2 linked regions of the Canis lupus familiaris genome follow. Each later gene encodes a partner of the first gene's protein in a complex. Links are inferred from orthologs where the notes say so. Each region holds a gene or a part of one and is shown on either strand. Other genes may lie near its edges.

The links.
Region 2: the proteins of ZDHHC9 (region 1) and GOLGA7 are in contact, whole or in part, in a cryo-EM structure (PDB 8HF3), measured with the Homo sapiens proteins. The link is inferred for Canis lupus familiaris from reciprocal best matches to the Homo sapiens genes ZDHHC9 and GOLGA7. Residues at the interface, in NP_001008223.1 of Homo sapiens: Phe78, Ala81, Arg85, Ile94, Pro95, Leu98, Asp100, Glu101, Phe104, Ile105, Phe129, Gln130, Ile131, Asn132, Ile146, Pro149, Pro150, Arg182, Tyr183, Leu186, Tyr274, Lys281, Cys284, Glu285, Leu287, Cys288, Gly289, Pro290, Leu291, Pro292; in NP_001002296.1 of Homo sapiens: Lys11, Phe13, Gln15, Tyr18, Ser19, Ser20, Gly21, Thr22, Ala57, Glu58, Leu60, Ser64, Tyr65, Gly68, Cys72, Ala75, Tyr76, Thr77, Phe79, Leu80, Tyr86, Glu87, Leu90, Ile116, Arg118, Gly119, Arg121, Val122.

The regions. Positions count from the first base shown.
Region 1 is NC_049260.1:101,905,658-101,909,565, forward strand, and holds part of ZDHHC9 (palmitoyltransferase ZDHHC9), read right to left. Parts: intron 2,337-3,908; coding exon 2,220-2,336; 3' UTR 1-2,219. UniProt on the Homo sapiens protein: Palmitoyltransferase that catalyzes the addition of palmitate onto various protein substrates, such as ADRB2, GSDMD, HRAS, NRAS and CGAS. The ZDHHC9-GOLGA7 complex is a palmitoyltransferase specific for HRAS and NRAS.
Region 2 is NC_049237.1:24,832,319-24,836,936, reverse strand, and holds the start of GOLGA7 (golgin subfamily A member 7), read left to right. Parts: upstream 1-1,642; 5' UTR 1,643-1,738; exon of another isoform or gene 1,739-1,875; intron 1,876-2,007; 5' UTR 2,008-2,028; coding exon 2,029-2,139; intron 2,140-4,618. UniProt on the Homo sapiens protein: May be involved in protein transport from Golgi to cell surface. The ZDHHC9-GOLGA7 complex is a palmitoyltransferase specific for HRAS and NRAS.

The DNA.
Region 1 (3,908 bases):
GAGTGGGCTAAAGGAGTTCATCTGAGTGTCAGGTTAACTGGAAAAATCTAGTAACTTCCAAATTCTTCAGGCTTGGCCTTATGTTGAACTAATGAAATCTAGCTACAAAGATAAAAGTGAGAGATCCAGAAAAAGAATGGAAAAATAGAGGCAGATAGGAGAGGAATCTGAGTCACTCAGAACCCATCTCTCTGCTTCTCCTGATTGCTACACTCAAACTCTAATACGAAGAAAATAAGAAGACATACAGAAAAATCTGGAAGCAGCCAAATTTCATGAATTTTGATTAACTGGGAAGGGTGAGATAGGCATTGGTAAGGAGTCTTGATTTTAGACCATTTAAAAAAGAAATATATGCCATTGCTTGTAAAAGATCACTAACAAAATATTTCCAAGAGGAGGCTCCAAGGAGCCTGCTTTAATAATCAAGACTCATTTGCAATTAACAGCATCCCTCTGCATAAAAACAATATCCTAATAAAGAACATGTTCTCTTAAGTAAATATACCCCCTCCAACCCTCCCAATCGTGCTAAACTGTATATTGCTTTGAAAGCCCTTTACTTCATAGTCCAGAATAAGGTAAACTTTAGCTCAAAATGTGGTCTAGATCAGTGGAGAGTTTGGGAGCTATTTCTCCAACTCAAGGGTCCCCTAGAAAATGGAAGTATGTAATAACAAGCAACCCCTTCAACCCCCACCCCTACCCCCCACACAAAGACATTCACAACCTCATGGTGGTTTTTGAAATGGAAGGGGGGAAGGAGGAGGCAGGCAGTTTGCATTAGACACAGTTTAATCACCTTCAAATAGATTAAAAGTTCTGGTTTACACTCCCCCCCCTCCCCGTAAGTCATCCAGACAGGACCCTGGCTTAGAAAGAGAAAAACACAGGTGCTTTAGGAAATATAGCCACATATAATACATAAATCTTCTTCCCTGAAATAGAGCAGGTCCTGAGCAGAGCTGACTGGGGGTCAAAGCACACCCCCAGGGTGAAGCAGCTCTGGGACTCTGCCGGTGGAAGTGCTGGAAGAGTGGGGCTTGGAGGAAGCCCCCGTGTGGTTACCAAGCCCGAGGTGGGCCAAGGCCTTGGAGTGGGTTTACCCGGGAGGGCAGCAGTGCTGGGCTTTCCCTCCTCACTCAGCCGAGGCCTAATGGAAGTACTGGTTATTCTTTTTTTTCTTTTTTTTTCTTTTTTGAGGGGACATAGGGGGAGAGGAGAGGAGAGGAGAGCCTCTCTGTGCCTTGGTTTCCCCATTTGTGCATTCAGGGCCTCTACAGGCCTCACACAGGGAGTCTGAGGGGGTAGTGTTTAAGTGAGCACTCAGGCTTCCTCTGAGGAAAAGGAATCACCAAAGTGCAGACTTTTATTACTGCTGTTCCTGCTCCTAGCAGGAGCAAGAGTCAAAAGGAAAACAAAAGGGGCTAACGAGAAAGGAGGAGAGATGAGACAAAGAGTGCAAGGGGCCATGTCATTGGCATCTCATAAATTCTTACTAAGAATGGCACAGGTATTAAAAAGTTTCCAGGTAGTCTACAAGAAATGTGGTTGTTTTCTCTACAGTAACTACTTACATATTTCTAGTTGAAAAAGAGTGGGGCTTGGGTGTTAGAGAGTGGGCAGGGGACAGAGGAGAAGCTACATGAATAAATACAAGTGGAAGTTATCTGCCCCATTCCTGAAAGGATTTGCCGGCAATGTTGGCACTTTGTAGCCAGGAGAATCCTCCAAGCCCACTCTTCACCCTCTTCAGTTCTGAAGGCCCTGGGAATCCAGTTAGGATTCCCTGGCCAGAGTTTTCTGTGACGGCCTCTGGACTCATGACATGCAGCAGCTTGGGAGGATTTGAGCCAGTCTCAAGAAACTTTAACCCCAGAATTGGGTCAATGACCCCAAGCAGGAGAGCTGGCATCTGGAGGAAAGAGAGGGGAGTCCAAGGAGACTCCATGGCTAAGGCCATTGAAAGCCAGTGTCGGGGCCCAAGGGACCCATTTGTCCAGTTACCAGAGGTGACTGACATCTTCCGTGACTGCCTCAAGTCCAGAAATTAAAAAAAGCTTGCAGCAAGAAAATGCCAGTGTGCAATTGGGTGAATAAGACCAAAGGAAAACAATAAAAGGGACAGCTCGGTTGCTCTCTGTCTCAGGTTTATCTTCTCCCCTTAAATCTCTCTCAGCCCTAATTAAACACGAACAAAAGTCTCTTCCATAGATAGGCTACTTCTCAGCTGCAGTCACCTCCTGTGGTGGCTCTGGGGGCTCTGGGGGTGGCATCTCTTCAGGAGTGCTGGTATCCTCCGGCATCTCACTTGGGCTCAGATGTTCTGTTGGGGCCTGAGAAGGAAAACGTATCAAATTCAATACAAAACTCTCCCTTAAGATCTAAATGGAGATAATACATAGACACCTAACTCTTCCTCTGAATCCATCAACCACACTGATGCTACAAATATACATCCACCAACACCAAACTCAGAACCAAGACCGAACTCTAGTCTTCTCAACAGAATGCGACTGAAGTTTGAATTCTATTCTTCACTGTTGTGGATAGATGTTTTCATCATTATTTGTGATATTAATAAAAGGGACCACAAATAATTACACAGACCCCTTCCCTTCACAACAGAATGCTATAACATACTTGTCTAAGAAGGCCTGAGTGGTTCTCAGTCTTTTTTATTCCCTAACACACAGCTCACCGGAACACTGATCCTAAATCAAATAGGGTAGGGTGGCAAAATCTTCAGATGGGATATGTGGTTTGAAAATGCCCCCTTAGTGATTCTAAAATACTATCCTTCCCTACCTTCAACTTAGCATCACTAACCTAGATTGTTATGATATAAGATCAGATTCATCAGGAAAATGAAATTCAAAATGATAATAATATATAAACCAGAGTTTGCTGTACTTCAAAAAAGAATTCAAAATTTAGGAAGGGTAGAGAACAATTATCTACTTTACAAAAATCATCCACTTAAAAGTAGGATTCTATTTGAAAAGAAAGCTCAAATCTACTAAAAATCTATTAGAATAAACTAGTCTAGCAAGGTTTCAAGATACAAGATCAATATAAAAAAATTAATTGAATTTCTATATACTTCCAATGTACAATCCAAAAATGTATTAGGAAAATTATTTCATTTTCAGTAACATCAAAAAGAATAAAATACTTATGAATAAATGTAACAAAAGAAGCATTAAACTTATACTCTGAGGGCACCTGGTTGGCTCAGCTGGAGAAGCATGTGACTCTTGATCTCAGGGTCATGAGTTTGAGCCCCACGATGAGGGTAGAGATTACTTAAATAAATAAAACTTTAAAAAACACCTTATACTAGCGGTACCTGGGTGGTTCAGTTGGTTAAGCGTCTGACTCTTGATTTCAGCTCAGGTCATGATCTCGGGGTCATGAGATTAAGCCCTGCATCTGGCTCTATGCTTAGCACAAAGTCGCTTGAGATTCTCTCTCCCTCTTCCTTTGCCCTTCCCCCCACTTGCATGTGTATGCTCTCTCTAAATAAATAAATAAAATTTTTAAAAAATGTACTCTGGAAAATACAAAATGTTGAAAGAAGAATTTTTTAAAGATTTTTGTTTATTTATTCATGAGAGACACAGAGAGAGACAGAGAGAGAGGCAGAGGGAGAAGCAGGCTCCATGTAAGGAGTCCAATGTGGGACTCGATCCTGGGACCCTGGGATCACGCACTGAGCCGAAGGTAGATGCTCAACCACTAAGCCACCCAGGCATCCCCAAAATGTTGAAAGAAATTAAAGAAGACCTAAACAAATGAAGACAGCCATGTTAATTATTCATAAGATTTAATCTTGTTAGGAAGATAATACTCCAAAAATTGATCTATAGCTTCAATGCAATCCTCATCAAAATTCCAGCTGGCTTCTT
Region 2 (4,618 bases), on another chromosome or scaffold:
GTAGGCAGAATAATGCTCTTCCCAAGATGTCCTTACCTAATGCCCCCAAACCCAAGGATATGTTAAGAGAGTGAAAAGGCAAGCCACAGAATATGGGGGAAAAAAAGAGTGTAAATCGTATATATGACATAGGACTTTTCCCTAGAATACATTAAAAAAAACTCTTAAAACTCAATGATAGGAAAACAAACACAAATACATTGCAAAAGACTTGAACAGATACTTCAAGAAGATATAGGAATGGCAAATAAGTATATGAAAAGATGTTCTAATTTTCTAGTCATAGAAAAATAAAATTTATAACCACAAATAAGATACCTCTATACAAGTGTTGGCAAAGATGTGGAGCATCCCTCATATGCTACTGGTGGGAACGTAAAATGGTACAACCACTTTGGGAAACAGTTTGGCAGTTTCCTAAAAAGTTAAACACTAGATATTTACCCGAGAGAAATGAAATCATATGTCCATACAAAGACTTGTAGATGAATGTCCGATAGCAGTTTAATCTGTAATAGCCCCAAACTGGAAAGCAGTCCTAAATCTGTCCACAGAATAAACGAATGACAGGATACTCAATTCAATGGAATACTACCCAGCAACAAAAATGAATGAATTCTTGATAAAACAACAACAGATGAATCTCAAATGATGCCTATGTGAAAGAAGCCAAACAAACAAGCAAGAAGTACACACTGTGATTCATTTTATATAACATTCAAAGAAGTACAAACTAACATATAATAGCAGAAAGCAGGTCAGCGCCTGGAGAAAAGGAGCTGGGTAAGGGCAGGAGAGAGGGATTACAGAGGAGCTTGTAGGACATGCTGAGGATGATCAATGTTCACAGTCTTGATTGAGAGGATTTCATGGTTGCACACGTATGTCAGAACTTATTACACTGTTCAGTTCAAGTATGCTCCGCTCATTGTATGCTGTTTATATTTCCATAAAACTTTTTAAAATACAGTAAGAGAAAATTTTTAAGATATATAAAAGGCAGGGTAAGGCATCGGTGCCAACAGGCTGTATCAGGCAGGCTCCAGCAGCTGAGGGCAAGGCGGAGTTCCTTTGGCTGCTCTGCAAAAGTGTGTGCTGAGTCAGGTGGAGCCCCAGAGGTCACGGAGGGGAACCTGTCCTCCCAGCCGCCCGAGGGATGTACAGACTGGGCGCTGGATGGACATCTCTGCGGGAGGAGGAACGGTGACCCCGCAGAGACCTGAGGACGGATGCTCGGTAATAAAGCCCAAGCAGGGTCTCCGTCCCCTCCTTCTCCCGCCCCCTTGCCAAGAGGATCCCCAGGCGTCTGCTTTCTGCTTCCAATTTTGTGTGAGCAGTTCGTTTTGTCCCGAGTCGGGCGGCACCCACAGGTAAGCCAGGACGTCAAAAACTACGTCGATCACTAGGGAAATGACACGACACGGATATGACACAACAGGGAAATCCCGAGTATTGGACCGGGGCAAACGAGGGGAGCGTGCAGCAGCCGTAGCTTCCCGGGCCTCGCCCCGCCCCGGCCCGGCCAGGCCCGGCCTCTTCCTTCCGTATTGACGCCCCCGGGCGGGGCGGGGCGGGGCGGGGCGAGGGGCGGGGTCGGCCCGGACCCCGCCCACTGCGCCTCCTCACCGCAGCGCGCAGCCTCACCAGGGTCGCTTTACGGCCGGGGCGAAAGTGAGTCCTCTCCTTGCGATAGAGGCTGAGCGGAGGGGCGGGGAAACAAGCTCTTTTGCGGCAGGACGTAAGTGGCGCTGTGGGCGGTGCGACTGCAGCTGGAGGGCAGAGGAGGCGGGTTCGTGTTTCCCGGGCCGAACCGGGCTGCGGGGGGTGCGGGGCCTGGCCCCGGGCTATAGCTCAAGTCCCGCGGGGCCAGTATGGGTGAGGGGGAGTGGGGCGGGGCACGCCTCGCGCCACCTGGGCCCGTGGGGAGGGGCTGGGGGGCGGGCGGGCCGGAGTCTCGGGTCCAGGCCGGGGATCTGACCCGAGGCTGTTGTCCCCCCAAACCCGCAGCGCGCCGGTCCTGTCCTCGCCATGAGGCCGCAGCAGGCGCCGGTGTCCGGGAAGGTGTTCATTCAGCGAGACTACAGCAGCGGCACACGGTGCCAGTTCCAGACCAAGTTCCCCGCGGAGCTGGAGAACCGGGTACGCACCCTGTCCCCGCACCTGCTCTGGGGCGATGGGGGCGGGCCTCCTCAGGGCAGACACCGGGCCCGCGGTGTGCCTGGCGGCGAGGGGAGGGGAGGCGAGGCCCGGACGCGGCGTTTGGAGGAGGACGAATAAGACCGACCCCCGGGTGTGGTGACCTTACAGAACTCTGTGGTGCCGAACCAACCAGCCGCCTTCTTCCCCCCGCGCCTCCGCCCCGCCCCACCCCCACCCCCACCCCGGGTTATTGACAACAGTGATGAGGAACTAATTCCTGAGGTTCCAGCCACCTAGCTCAGCACGTTGTAAACTATATCCTCCCACCTCGCCAGGAGAGTAATCATCATCGTTCTCGTGATTGGGGTTCCTGGCCATGGTGCTGGTCGCCCTGCTCGGCAGAAGGGGTTTATTAAATTGCTGTACCAGGCAGTACGGACAGGCCTGCTGGGAACCTGAGCAACGTGGAGCATTAGATCGGCCTGGACAGGGAAGGATCTCAGAACAAGGCCTGACACTTGCAATTCCCGGTTATGATCCCCGGGAGCCACCTGTGTTTTGTTGGCTTGCATATCAGAATTGGCGTCAGGATATAGGTCCCATAGGCAGCCCTGCACCTAGAAATGGAAGATGGAGCTGTGTTTCCTCTTTCTTCAGACTCGGGGAGAAATTCTTTGTATTTTATTTTAAAAATACAACGAAGTGAGCATGTGTGAGTTTGTTTTCTCTTGTATCTGAATGTGCTCACCCACCCAAAGAAAGAGCTTTTGGTCTTGAGCCATGTTACCTTGCATTCTGTTTTCTTTTTAGAGATCAGTTTCTGGTTAAAGGGGAGCAGGTTTTCTGCTCTTTTCTGCTTGATGGGGAGGGTGAGGGACTGAGGTGATTAGGTGTGTTGTGGGTGTGGGAGTAAGAAATACTGGTCATGGGATAAGTGGGTATAGAGGAGTCTGTACAAGAGAAATGTGTAGCAGTCCTTTAAAATCAGCTTGTAACAGGTAGATTGCTCTACCTGAATGCCAAGTTTGGAAAATCAATGTGTATCAATCCTAGTGTCCTTCGACTTAATTTATAATTGTGGTCAGGTTAGTGACCCAAGTATGTTTCTTTAAGTGCAAATGAAAGATCAGGTATGCTTTACAGGGATGGTGTGTGGATGAGCTTGTCTGTGAGATGCTGTATTAAATGCTGCACTTTGCCGTCTAGATGTTGAGTTAACTCAGCTTGACACTGGGTGGACATTTCCATCATGGTTTCAAGAGATAGAAATTGAGCAAGTTGCCTGTTGTCTACCGCTACTGAACGTTATTTTTAAAATAACTTAACATCCTAGTTAACATGTTTTACGTGTTAGGACTTGTATGAAATGGATCAAATGTTTTATTTGTAAGCCTGTTATGGAAACTCTGACTTATACTATTTATGTACTTTCAAATCAGAGTGTAAACTCTTCTTTCTACCACACTTACTTGGATGTTATAAGATTCCTTTGTTTTTTTTTTGTTTGTTTTTTTTGTTTTGTTTTGTTTTGTTTTATGATAGTCACAGAGAGAGAGAGAGAGAGAGGCAGAGACATAGGCAGAGGGAGAAGAAGGCTCCATGCACCGGGAGCCCAATGTGGGATTCGATCCCGGGTCTCCAAGATCACTCCCTGGGCCAAAGGCAGGCGCCAAACCGCTGCACCACCCAGGATCCCGATTCCTTTGTTTAAAGGTTTTATTTATTGTTTGTTTGTTCGTTTGTTTAAAGGTTTTAAAGTCAAACTTCCAACTCATAACTGAGCCAAATATATATATGCAGATATGCAGGACCAGACATTAGCCTTCTACTCCATGTGTGGTAGAGCCTTTACTTTATAGTCTGGATTCTGAGAATCTCCACGGATTCTTACAGGAAATTGATGTTTCTAAATTCTGGAGTCCTTTTACTTCTTTGACTTCAGATTATAGCCTAGAACTGCTAGGCTATAATGTGACTCTGAGTACTAACTATAGGGAGTGTTACTTGGTGCTATTCAATTGTGTCTTTGAGGGTGTTTTTTTTTTTTTTTTTCTTCCTTTTTTTTTTTTTTCAGTGTTTGGGTTAAAACACTAGTTTATGCTTTAAACTGCTTGGGAGAGCTTTGATTTTTCTTTTAATGTATTGAAATCAAATTTAAATTACAGGTTTAAATTTTCCTTGCTTTGTTTGATGGAAAATTAAAAGGTTTCTGTCTTTGTTTCTATACTACTTACCCTAGAAATTGTACTGATTGCTCTGCCACTGGGCTGATTTTCCTCTGGGGAGAACATCACACTTGGTAATTTAATAGAGGAAGAAACTAATATACAAATGTTTTGTATTACTTTAAAGTATTAGATACACTTACATTTGTACCCTTTAATCTGGGAGGGAGGACAAGTTCTGCCTGTTAACAAGTTTACTTCTGCTGCTGCCTGGTAAATGTAATACTTTGATGCTTAACTTTGTTGTCAGGACA